3 linked regions of the Tribolium castaneum genome follow. The protein of the gene in region 2 purifies or fractionates together with the protein of the main gene of each other region. This does not show direct contact. Links are inferred from orthologs where the notes say so. Each region holds a gene or a part of one and is shown on either strand. Other genes may lie near its edges. The genes, in order: Pop4, Pop1 and Rpp30.

What was found.
Region 1: the proteins of Pop1 (region 2) and Pop4 purify together in Homo sapiens (affinity purification with mass spectrometry; 5 studies listed by BioGRID and IntAct, counting the BioPlex papers as one, with this or other methods). This does not show direct contact. The link is inferred for Tribolium castaneum from reciprocal best matches to the Homo sapiens genes POP1 and POP4.
Region 3: the proteins of Pop1 (region 2) and Rpp30 purify together in Homo sapiens (affinity purification with mass spectrometry; 5 studies listed by BioGRID and IntAct, counting the BioPlex papers as one, with this or other methods). This does not show direct contact. The link is inferred for Tribolium castaneum from reciprocal best matches to the Homo sapiens genes POP1 and RPP30.

Annotation. Positions count from the first base shown.
Region 1 is NC_087401.1:15,382,761-15,386,089, reverse strand, and holds Pop4 (ribonuclease P protein subunit p29), read right to left. Parts: upstream 1,931-3,329; 5' UTR 1,452-1,930; coding exon 1,445-1,451; intron 1,393-1,444; coding exon 871-1,392; intron 823-870; coding exon 686-822; 3' UTR 685-685; downstream 1-684. Other genes in the region: uncharacterized protein F58A4.6, read left to right, coding at 54-259, 303-684. UniProt on the Homo sapiens protein: Component of ribonuclease P, a ribonucleoprotein complex that generates mature tRNA molecules by cleaving their 5'-ends.
Region 2 is NC_087394.1:32,928,224-32,932,453, forward strand, and holds Pop1 (ribonucleases P/MRP protein subunit POP1), read left to right. Parts: upstream 1-1,367; 5' UTR 1,368-1,536; intron 1,537-1,586; exon of another isoform or gene 1,587-1,607; 5' UTR 1,608-1,617; coding exon 1,618-3,297; intron 3,298-3,348; coding exon 3,349-3,612; intron 3,613-3,659; coding exon 3,660-3,935; 3' UTR 3,936-3,965; downstream 3,966-4,230. Other genes in the region: zinc finger protein 774, read right to left, coding at 1-223, 878-933. UniProt on the Homo sapiens protein: Component of ribonuclease P, a ribonucleoprotein complex that generates mature tRNA molecules by cleaving their 5'-ends. Also a component of the MRP ribonuclease complex, which cleaves pre-rRNA sequences.
Region 3 is NC_087398.1:7,285,453-7,289,085, reverse strand, and holds Rpp30 (ribonuclease P protein subunit p30), read left to right. Parts: upstream 1-1,328; 5' UTR 1,329-1,427; coding exon 1,428-1,524; intron 1,525-1,579; coding exon 1,580-1,716; intron 1,717-1,763; coding exon 1,764-1,835; intron 1,836-1,882; coding exon 1,883-1,951; intron 1,952-1,995; coding exon 1,996-2,270; intron 2,271-2,656; coding exon 2,657-2,736; intron 2,737-2,783; coding exon 2,784-2,932; 3' UTR 2,933-2,984; downstream 2,985-3,633. Other genes in the region: uncharacterized protein LOC103313092, read right to left, coding at 1-238; uncharacterized protein LOC658939, read right to left, coding at 394-563, 611-871, 922-1,219. UniProt on the Homo sapiens protein: Component of ribonuclease P, a ribonucleoprotein complex that generates mature tRNA molecules by cleaving their 5'-ends. Also a component of the MRP ribonuclease complex, which cleaves pre-rRNA sequences.

The sequences.
Region 1 (3,329 bases), on a different chromosome or scaffold from region 2:
AAACAACATAACCTAAAGTGTCACCAGTTTATTACGATGAATTTACAAAAAAAATGATGCAAGTCGGGTTAAGACTAGGCAAAAACGGCACTAAAGGCCCCCCTTGTGTGCTCCGAATCGACTGCGTGTTCTACCACTACTTGCTGAAGGAGTTGAGGTTAAGTCGCTTCTACCGGATTTGCTTCATAAAATCGCAAAACAGCCGCAACTTTAGCTTTATTCTCCTGGAGACACGTTACAACCTAATTGACTACCAATGGTGAGTCAATTAGTGTCAAAATTGGGGGCTAACACTTTTTCAGGAACGAACGAGTGGTGGAAATGGTGCGCGAGCGGTGCGAGCTGGACCACGCCATGTCGTGGTTGTCCACCCTCGGGGGGGCTTTTTCAGCCCTTGGTGACTACTTCGCGAATTGTGCCCAAATCGCCGGGAAAATCTCCGTGAATCAATTGAAGCTAGCTTTGAGGTTAGGTGACCCGACTGTGGCCGCCAGATGTCGCCTCTACTTTAGTCTAAGTTTAATTCAACAAAAACGCTTCAAACTGGCCAGGAACATAATTTATCAGGAGTTCACAACCGCGAAAAATGCACTTGTTGTGGACGAACGACTTGTAAAGATGTGTAAAGGCATTTGGTCGAAATTACAATATGAGCATAGCTTGGGGCGTAAGCGCAAAAAATAAATCACAAATCTGGTAACATCACCGACTTGATTTTTTTAACGCTGCGCTCGCTGGGCTTCGTCATTATGTGTTTGCCGAAAACTGTGAACTTCATGGCGTCCAAGACGAACTCGAACACGGACGTGTTTTTTGGAATAACTGAAATCAAGCGATTTAGAGACGATTTAAAATTATTGCTTGAAATACTTTTCAATTGTGATTGTTGTGTGACGATCTGGAACGTCATTTTCGTTTCCAAGACAACGGTCCCAGTCAGGCCCACGTGACTGGGGCACTTGGACCGCGCCACCTTGATCTCGCTCCCGATTAGCTCAGATTTGGCCAAAACTGCCGAAAAGTTGGCCCAGTCTTGCTCACTACAGTGGGGCGCACGCCCGGCCAATTCCAGGTTCTGTCTCATGTATTGACGCCACATTTTCCTGATCCCTTCAAGTGAATTGTAATCCCAGTCTGACTTTGGCAATTTTAAAATGTTAAGGTCTTTTCGCTCCCTTCGAGTGAGAAAAGTCTTCTTTTTCCGGATCGGTTTTTTTCGCTTTTGCGAACTTTGGTGTTTGTCGAGGAGGAATTGCCATTTCAGGTCGTGGCGTAGCTGTTGGGAGTCGCTTCTAGGGAGTTCCTTCAGGAGCAGTTTTTGGATGTAGGTGGTGGGGTCCCCGATCTCGGGGGCGTTTTTGAGGTACTGGTCGGGCAAGCTCGTGTATAAATCTGGGGGAAAAACAGCAATAAAACGTTTAAATGCTGGTTTTAAGCGATTTACCGGCCATTGGAAAAAACGAGGTTAACTGATGTCAATCACAAGTGGCGCGAAGTTTAAATTTGAGTAAAAGCGCCGTAACTTTCTCTTTTTTTATTGTTATTCGGGTGTCAAAGGTCGGAATTTTTATTAAAGTGCGGTGTTGACAAAGTTGGGTTAATTTCGTTAATTGGCGGTTGATTCGGAATTATTCGAAATGTGAAATTCGTTAATTTTCTCTCAAATCTGGCAGACGCGTCTCTTTTTTCGTGTGAATTGCCGCTGTCTCCGCTTTAAGTGAATTATGAAAGGATGAGATATGTCTGGGAACGAACCGCCAATTGTGCGTTTTTGTGGGTTACGTATTTCCATTTATAACTTTCTTTTGACGAGACGCATCTTTTATTATTACATTACATTACGAATTGAACTATTGCACAGGAAAGTACAAGTCACGTCTAAGATTAATTTTCAAAATGTCACTTCAACTGTCTCTTCATGTTACGTTATAGTCGAGATTCGTTGCGATAAAGTATAATAAAAAAAGTTTCCAGTTTGTTTAACAGCATAGGTAATAGAGTTAGCTATTGTCGGGGTCTGAAAGGTCGGCTACTTTCAGGTCAAAGGAAGTCAGGCGGAAAGTTCCTTGTTTGATTCGATTTTTGGGACTAATTAGTAATTAAGGAACTGGAGAAGCAATCTGGCATAATAATGAAATGTTCAAACATCCACTCACTCTACACCTTATTTGAAATCAGTGCTATTTATGGCCAAAGCCATCAATAATTTTTTTGATCGAAGCTTTAGTCGCTTGTGAATTTTTTCAAATTTTTTCTACCCTTTCCTAATTAAAATTCGGAAAAATATCACAGGCATTGAAAAAATATAAATGATTTAAGAGCAAAATCCTGATTTTTGTGCGATTAGTAGTATTTGAGATTTTTTTTGCTTAAAATTTCGTTGGTCAAGGCAAATATATACCTTCATAAAAGTGAAAAATTTTTTTTTAACTCACTCCAGCAAATTTTTATGAACTTCTATATGTCTTAACAACCCACTAAAGTTGTTAAAAGTGCACAAAAAGTCCATTTGATCGATTTTTTGATGTTTGATTTTTCCAATTTTTGTTGCGATTTTGGTCAATTTTCGGCGCCCGGAACATTTATCGAGCAATAGCTCCGGAACTATTAGAGATAACACCATGAAGTGTATTATCGTTGGAAAGCTCTTTCAATTATCTATTTTTTTCAAAAAAGATTATAGTTCTCCGACTAATAGTTTTCGAGCAAATTGCAAATAAAAGCAAAAATTAGTAAAATTTTAAAAAATTCATAACTAAAAAAATATTCGGAATTTGGGAATTTTCTCGATGCCAATCGATTCCCCGGATCATTTTGCATAGGTATGGATCAAAATAGTTCCACTTTTTGGAATAGTTTAGCCGTAATTGAGAAAAAAATAAAAATAAAAAAAAGTTAACACAAAAAAAATTCATAACTAAAAAACTAAAGGTCGTAGAGCAATGCGGTTTGTTCCATTGAATTCAGCGGCTCATTTTCTGTATTATACCAACTTTTCACGAGATTTAAAATTTTGATTTTTTTGCTAAAATTTCCTGAGTAACACACTTACCTTCACGAAAGTGAAAAAATTAAATTTTTTTAAAACTCGTTCTATCATAGTTTTTCGGACTTATATATGCCTTTACAACCCTCTAGAGTTGTTAAAAGTCCAAAAAACGTCCATATGTTCAATTTTTTATGTTTGATTTTTCCAATTTTTGTCGCGATTTTGGTCGATTCCGGGTCTCCGGACATTTATCGAGCAATAACTCCGGAACTATTCGAGATAACCCCATGAAGTGTATTAGCGTTGGAAAGCTATTTTAATTATCTATCTTTTTCAAAAA
Region 2 (4,230 bases):
TTGTAGTTTGTACTTTACAAGGTACGGTATTTCATTTTTTATAATTTCTAGTTTGCATAAACCGTCTAGATCTTTCAAATTGCTCAAATCCAATGGCATCCGATTATTTAAATTGGCATTAACGTCTAATGTGTTCGAAAATATGTTCGATAAATACGACGAACTAGGTTGAACAGAGTTAAAGTTTCCACATTGCAAAAAATCGATTTCTCTCTTAACATCCCTAAAATTAAATATAAAAAAATGTGTATTTAAGCACTTATAAAGTTCAAAATCATTTTTTATACAGAATAACCCATTAAAACAAGCCACACGAGTTTTTATTTTTTTTAAGATTTTCCTAATAGAAACATAGGTTGATTTAATATATGAATTATGTTGGTGTTAAAATTTATTTTGCGATTAACCCGTGAATCAAAGCATCTGATTGAAATTACTCTTAAACAGAGTGTCTCTACAACGCTTTGAACCCGAAATTCGCCAATTTTGAGACATTCTGTAGGTATAATAACTTGTTACATTGGTGAGTTACGTCTGTGAATTTTACGCAAGATGTTTATCTCAGAACTTTGAAAACATCATTTTTAGACTTACGTATACCTTTTTTACACTCACTGAAACAATTAAGTACTTAATTTATTATATCAGGCACTCTAAAACTAACCCCCATTGCTATGTGGTAGAAATAATGATAATAGTTAAATAAAGTTTGTATGGGACGCTAATGCTCTAATAAACAAAACAATTCCAAAATAAGTGAATTTTAATCTGCTTTTGTCTATGGCTTTTGTTAAAACAGAAGTCACAAATGAAGTTGCGATGTGTGTCTTAAAACTGTATTTCCAAAATTCGCTTTTTTGGGGCTTGTTGTACTCACCCATTATTCTCCTTGTCGAATTTTAAGAAATCTGCGTTCAAGTTTAGCTGATCCATTTCTTATAATTCCAATTTAAAGCAATTAGAAGAGCTTGAAGGAACTTTTGTAACTAATGCAAACAGATTTTTCACAAAAACTACTCACATAGTCAAAAGCACACTTTATCAAGTAATAATAAAAAACAAACAATCATTTCAATCAGAAAATTTAAACGTTTAAATTTTTGAAAAAATTTAAACACAAAAACAGGCTAGTGAATGTATTTTGTTTAAAAAATTGTTAAAAATTGAATGTTGATGGATTTTCATTTGACTAATTATGGACAAACTGTCATAGCTTTCTAGATTCAAGTGAACAATATTCATAAATTTGCGATAATGATTTAAATTCAGCTTAAAACATTATTTTAGTATCAATGCCAAGAAAACCATTTTAAATTTTGAATTGAATGGAAAGTAAGACTCATGCGCACAAAATTCTATTTTTTTTATAAACGACTGCAGCGTCACCTGACGATTAAAACTAGCAAAGGTATTTTTTTGTTTTAAAGCTACGCGGTAAATTTGAATGATTCTCTCAATTTTTACATTAAAATGTGATAAGTGCGAATTTACTTTCAATAATATTCATTGCTAGCTTCAGTAATTAGCGCCTGGAAGGTATGTCAAGATTACAAACCAGTGTCACAATTTTTGAGGTTACGTTCAAGTCAAAAATGTGGTGATTTTAGCGTCAAAACCATGATTGACGAAGAAGCCCAATATGACGCCCTTCTGGGGGGCTCCGAGGAGCTCCCTTCGAACATCTCCTTATCGAAATTCGTGGCTTGCCGCAGCCAAGAAATCCAAATCATGAAAAACTCCCTCCTGACCCAAACCGGCTCAAAACTGGCCTTCCAAACTCTACCGAAACACATGAGACGCCGGGCAATGTCCCACAACGTCAAAAGACTACCACGGCGTCTCCGCCAAATCCATTTAAACCAAATGAAAAAATCCGGAATGCCAACGCAACAGAAGCGCCCCTCTCGCAAATACCGCCGAAAACCGCGAAACCTCCTCGAAGAATACACCAAAAGGGCCAATAAGAAGTACAAATGGTTGCAAACCCACATCTGGCACGCGAAACGGTTCCACATGGTGGAGAAATGGGGCTACAAGTTGCCATACCACGCTTGTGATAAGGCCTTCCGTGCCTGCTACAGGGCAATGACCCAACATTGCCTCTTACAGGACATTTCCTACTACAGTTGTGTGGAAATCCACGGCGATAAAAGCGAAATTATTGAAAAAATTAAACTCCTGTGTAAGCCAGGCGAGGGTTTAAGTATTGGGGCGAAAGCCTTTTCTGAGGGTAACCGCGAGGGTGAAATCTGTCTCTATGATTCGTTCCAAAAAGCCATCGGGAACGTCATGTTCCAGTGGCAACCCTCTATTGACGAAAAATGTAAATTGTGGTTGTGGGTTCATGCCGCTTTTTATTCAACCACGAAAAACACACTAGTTGAGTGTTTTAAAAACTGCCAGATCGAAATAAACGAACTTAGACTTGAGTTGAGCAGATTTAGACTCAGTGGGCCTTTATCTAATCCAGTTCTTCAAGATGCGCTTGCTTTGATCGACATTTATGATATTAAATTAGTACCAGAGTCGCCTCTTAAAAAATACATTGATTGGCCGGAGAATAAAGCAGTGATTATAAATCAGTGCGAGTTTTGGAAAAAACTAGCCTCGGTGGCATCCCTACATGAGGTTTCCCCCCACATCGTGTTACCCTTGATTGTGAAAGACCCCCGATTGAATCTTCCAAAAAAGCGCATAAAAAGTGTTTTAACTTTCGGGAAATTGGAATTTGATCAAATTCCTGTGAACATTTCCGCGAATCCTTTATGGGACAAGACCATCAGAACGTACTCAAATGAAAATAAAGTGTCTGACTCAAAAATTGTTGACTTGCAAAGTGGTTTACTAGTCCCGGGGTCTGATTTAAAAGGGACCATTGGCCACATTCCAATTATCCTGATCCAAAGGCCAGGGAATAAAACCCAGAACGTTGGTTTAGGGAGTGGATGGGATGTCATCCTACCAACGGCTTGGGCCAAACCGTTTTGGATTGCCTTCGTTATGAGGGGAGCAAGGGTTGGGGGTTTGAGGGAATCAGACTCAATGCTTTACGAAATGGGAAAGTCACAGTTGCTTCACCCGGACACGGACGCAGGTTTTGAGGAAGAACTGAGACATTCAAACCAGCACAGGGTTACGTTTTTCCAAAAACCTCCAAATAAACGAATCAATTACAGTAAATTTAAAATCGCAAGTCCTTTGCTTTGCAATTGGAGGCTTTTGCTCAAGGACTGGAACAGTGGCTTTACGGGCGAATTTTCAGTCCTCAGGGACAAAAAACAGCTTCATTCGATTAATGTAAATTAATTGTCTTTGTAAAAAGTGAACTTTAAGTTTTGATTGTTTTAGGCTTTTCTCAATTCTAAGACACACCCGGTGCCACAGTGCCCCCAAAATTGCCTCATTCCTGTTAGACTTGAGTGTGAGAAGCGGGGCTCACTGGCCGAGTATGCCATTATTTGTGTCCCGAAATGTAAGAGTGATTTGAGCGAAGTTTTGTTGGAACCGAATTGCGAGGATGTAAATAAGGAAAAGCGGAAGGAATTGAGACGTGCACATCAAAGTTTGTTGAAAAAATTGCGGAAGAAACGCAAATTAAAGTCGGAGCTTGCGGTAATGTCGGTTTGTTTTAATCGAACTTGTTGATAAGTCTGTTTTAGTCGGATGATCACAGTGAGATTTTACGCAGTTATACGGAGAAAATGAGAGCGCTGTGGCTTCCTGAGCCAACTACCATAAGGCATTCGTGTAGCAGAGAAGTTGTAGGTTTTGTTTCGAAAGGCGGTTTTAGTTTTTCGATTGGGAAAAGCGCAGGGACGGGTTATATAACTAGCGATTGTTTATCGGAGTTGGTTGATTTTAGAAATAAGGTTTTGTTGAGGAATACTAATTCTCGGCAATATAAAACTGCGAATTTAAGCGTCATTGTAGAGTGACTGGCTGAATATAAATTTATTACAGGAAAACGTTTATAATTGCTATTTACAAATACATACCCACATGGGGAGGCTGCAAATGCCGAATTTTTTTGAATAAAAAATAATGCAATTTCTTATTGCTGTATAGGAATTTCCAAAATATTTTATTGGAGGCGTGCAGCCGTTTTTTAAATAATCAATTTACGGAATGGTAATAAGTGTTGTTACACTAAATTGCCGATTTACGCTCACTTTGATGAAAAAACGGGTCATAAAAAAACACAGTACTTCTCAATATTGTATTATGTGAAGT
Region 3 (3,633 bases), on a different chromosome or scaffold from region 2:
CAATGTATGAACAAAGTGAGGGAAAATAAATAATAAATAAAGTGACGGAGGCCCATATGGGATCATTATCCTTGTAGTGTCTGAACACCACAGCACAGTCACTTGCAAACAAAAAAACATACAGTAGGAAAGAACAAACTGAAGGAATGAAATAATTTATTATAACGTCCTGTCTTGGCGTGAGTTCGTAATTTAGAAACGTTTTCCTTAAGTGAACCTTTCCTTTGTTAACACTCATTTTTAGAAAAATTCAGGTTTCTGACATGATGAGTCAAATTTTATCACACACTGAGATAATAAACCATTTCCAGCGTTATCAGTATTGATAAACATGAGTCAATTTTCATATATTGTATTTTACACTATTTTACTATAACTTAACAGATTAGTGTATTATCTGGCAGGATGTAAGTCTTCCAAGTAAACCGAATGTTTTTCCAACATTTCCGCTACAGGATCTTGTTTATTACATTCCGGGTCATATTTCGCTCCCAGGGCCCATAAGGAATCTAAATCATATACAGTCCTAGCTTCGCGCGAAAATATGTGAAGGGCTATATTTCCTACAATTTCAGATAGTAAACAATTGAAAACAAAAAACAAAAATTACCTAAATCTAAAGCTAACCAATCCTTTGAATTTTCGCCTTCAAGCTTAGGGATAAGATCAGTTTTGTGCATTTTTTTCTTATAAATCATCCTAACAAACTGAGCAATTGCCTTCATATGTTTGTGTGACTTTCCAGTAACAACGCAAATGTACTCAACATACTGAATTTCTTTAGGCACCGCAGCCACAAAAATGTCTTCAGCATTTTCAGAGTGAAGCACTTCGATCAAGTCTTCAATATTATAAACACCATTGACACCTCCTTCAAAGAGACAATGTACAAAATGTTTCAAACACTAGTGATTGTAATACTCTCTAAATTAAGGCCCACAAAAGGGTCAGGTTCCTCCTCTTCAATCGCATTCACCGGATTTGCGTATTTACTCCGGTCCTCGTAAATATCGAGTATGACTTCGGAGTCTTCATCTCGAAAAATCTGGTATTTTGAGCTCATTTCGCCAAGAGGTGTCTTTGTTGTACTTTGGGATGTGTCTGGGGGTTGGGTTTTTGTACTTTTGCCAGATTTCAGTCTCCGCTGGACACAGTTTTGTAATAAATAGAGACACTGATTTTGCGGCCGCGTTTTGCTTAAAAGTCGTGTCACAAACATGGTTTTTATTAAATTAAAATAAACAAATTTAGATTTTGAACATAACCTTTCAAATTGACGTGCGTCAAAAAAACAGAGACAGATAGATTAGTTTTTAAAAATTTAGACAGAGAAGGATGACTTTTGACAGATTGTGGTAAACATGTGCTAGTGCTAGGTTAGGGATTGTTTAAAAATTTATTTTTATAAAAAAGTAGTATTACGGAACATGAAGTTGGAAGTCAGAGGTTTTTTTGATTACGGTGTCTCTGAGCATTGTTTGGACAACAACAAATATGAATCGACCATTAAATTGTTGTACGATTGTGAGTTGCAAACAATTTTATTAACAGCAAATTTCTGAGAGAAAATGTATTTCAGTCGGTTACAGGACAATAGCAATAAACCAAACAATCGATGCAAATGAATTAGAGCAGAAAAAGAAGAAGAAAAAAGGTGAACTTAGAGAAGGCCCCTCAGATTTTGTACCAGAACCCTACAAAATAACTCCACTTGAAGTAATATTTTTACCGAGATTTTGTTTAAATTAATATCAATATTGCAGGGTTACGAAGACTTAACTATTCTAAACCGCTTAACAATAATTTTTTCCAATCAAGACGTGATGCATAAAATTGTAAGTTACCCTGATAAGGTTATAAATTTGTTACATTATTATTTTAGACAAAGTCTTCACACTACAAAAAATATCACATAATCGCGGTTTTACCTGAAACGGTTCAAGCAAATGCGGTAAGATTTTCAACAAACAAAAACGGTTTAACACTTTTTTGTAGTTTGTTTGTAGCAGCTTTGAAGCAGACATATTATGCTTTCGTCCAGAGAATAAAAACCACATTAAACGTTCAAGAAAAATGTACAAGCAGCTAATAGACAGGGGCTATCATTTTGAAATACCTTACGCGCCTGCTATTGAAGACGCCGCTTTAAGGAGAAACATTATACACATGGCACATCTATATCACATTTTTATCAAGTCAAGAAATGTTATCGTGTCGAGCTTAGCCGAAAGACCTTCTTTGCTTAGGGGGCCTTATGATATCATTAATTTGTAGGTATTCTTAATTATTGGATCAAATATTTTTTAATTAGTAAATTCGCAAATACAGTTAAAGTGCGTTCGTTTAATTATGTAATTTTTCTGGTCTGACTAATGGTGGGAAAAGATGTATTTTTTGGCAGGAAGTTATAAATTATTTATGTACTTAAAAAAATTATTTAAATTGGCATTTCTACAGTTTTGAAACAGTTAATAATCAATTTTAATTTTAAGTCATTGTCACTGCAGGGGTGAAAGTTCTACAAACTAAAAAATTTGCATCGCTATCAACCTAATAATTTCTTAACGGTGCTGAGGGAGACAACTTTGTAGTAATTTTAATAAATGCAAAGCTATAAATAGGAGTAATAATACGAAATGTTTTTTTATTTTTGTAGAGGTTTAATATTTGGATTAAATGAAGAACAAGCAAAAAATTCCATAACAACTTGTGGTCGCAAAGTTTTTATCAATTCAGGTAAATTAGATACGTTTGTAGTTACAAAATAATTATTAATGTTTTAGTTGGTCGAAAACATGGTAAGGCTGTTATGTTTGCTGAAAATGTGGAAAAAGAAGAGAGTTCAAACGATTGTGAAATAATAGACTGTGTTGACGAAAGTGAAGAAGACATGGAAATTGATCAACCAGCATTAAAAAAAGTTAAACAATAAGTTTTTATTGTGTTTTTTAATTGTGTTATCAATAAAATAATTGGAGTTAAAATTGTCTTTTTTTATTATTAACAATAAAATTATGCTGCTAGAAGAGAATGTATAAATAGGTGCTGATCTAATTAGTTTTTAATTGCAGTTCTCATATTTAAATAATAAATATTCTAATTAACAGGTCTGATAAATCAATACGAGTTTTGTTGCAAAGAAAGTTTGATTGTCGCTTATGCAATCCATTGCCGGGTCTTGTAATAATCGGATATGGAGTAATTACACGTGTGTGTGCAAAATTGGCAATTTATTGATTGAAGGAGTGAGAAATTTCGAGTTTGAATTGGAACCGGAAGTGGTGTGCGGTGTAGTGGTGCGTAATTTCAAACTTGGCGCTTTGAAAGGTGGCAGCACCGTCGATCACAAGCGTAATGATAAAATGGAGTATTCATTTATACGTGCAGTTTATACACAAAATTTAATTAAGTGAATTCATGTATATAATCGTTGATAAGTGTAACTAATAAGTAAAATATCTCAAATACAAATGTGGTTATCAACGTAGCATAGTTTAACACTGCGGATAGGTAGTGGAAAGTGCATTTTTCGTCGGTGTCAAAAAGGGATAGAGTTGAACGGAACAGAGGCCGACGGTGTCCATGGTAAGTTTCCGCAAACGTCGGATTTTCGTAAATCAGTGCATGCGAACC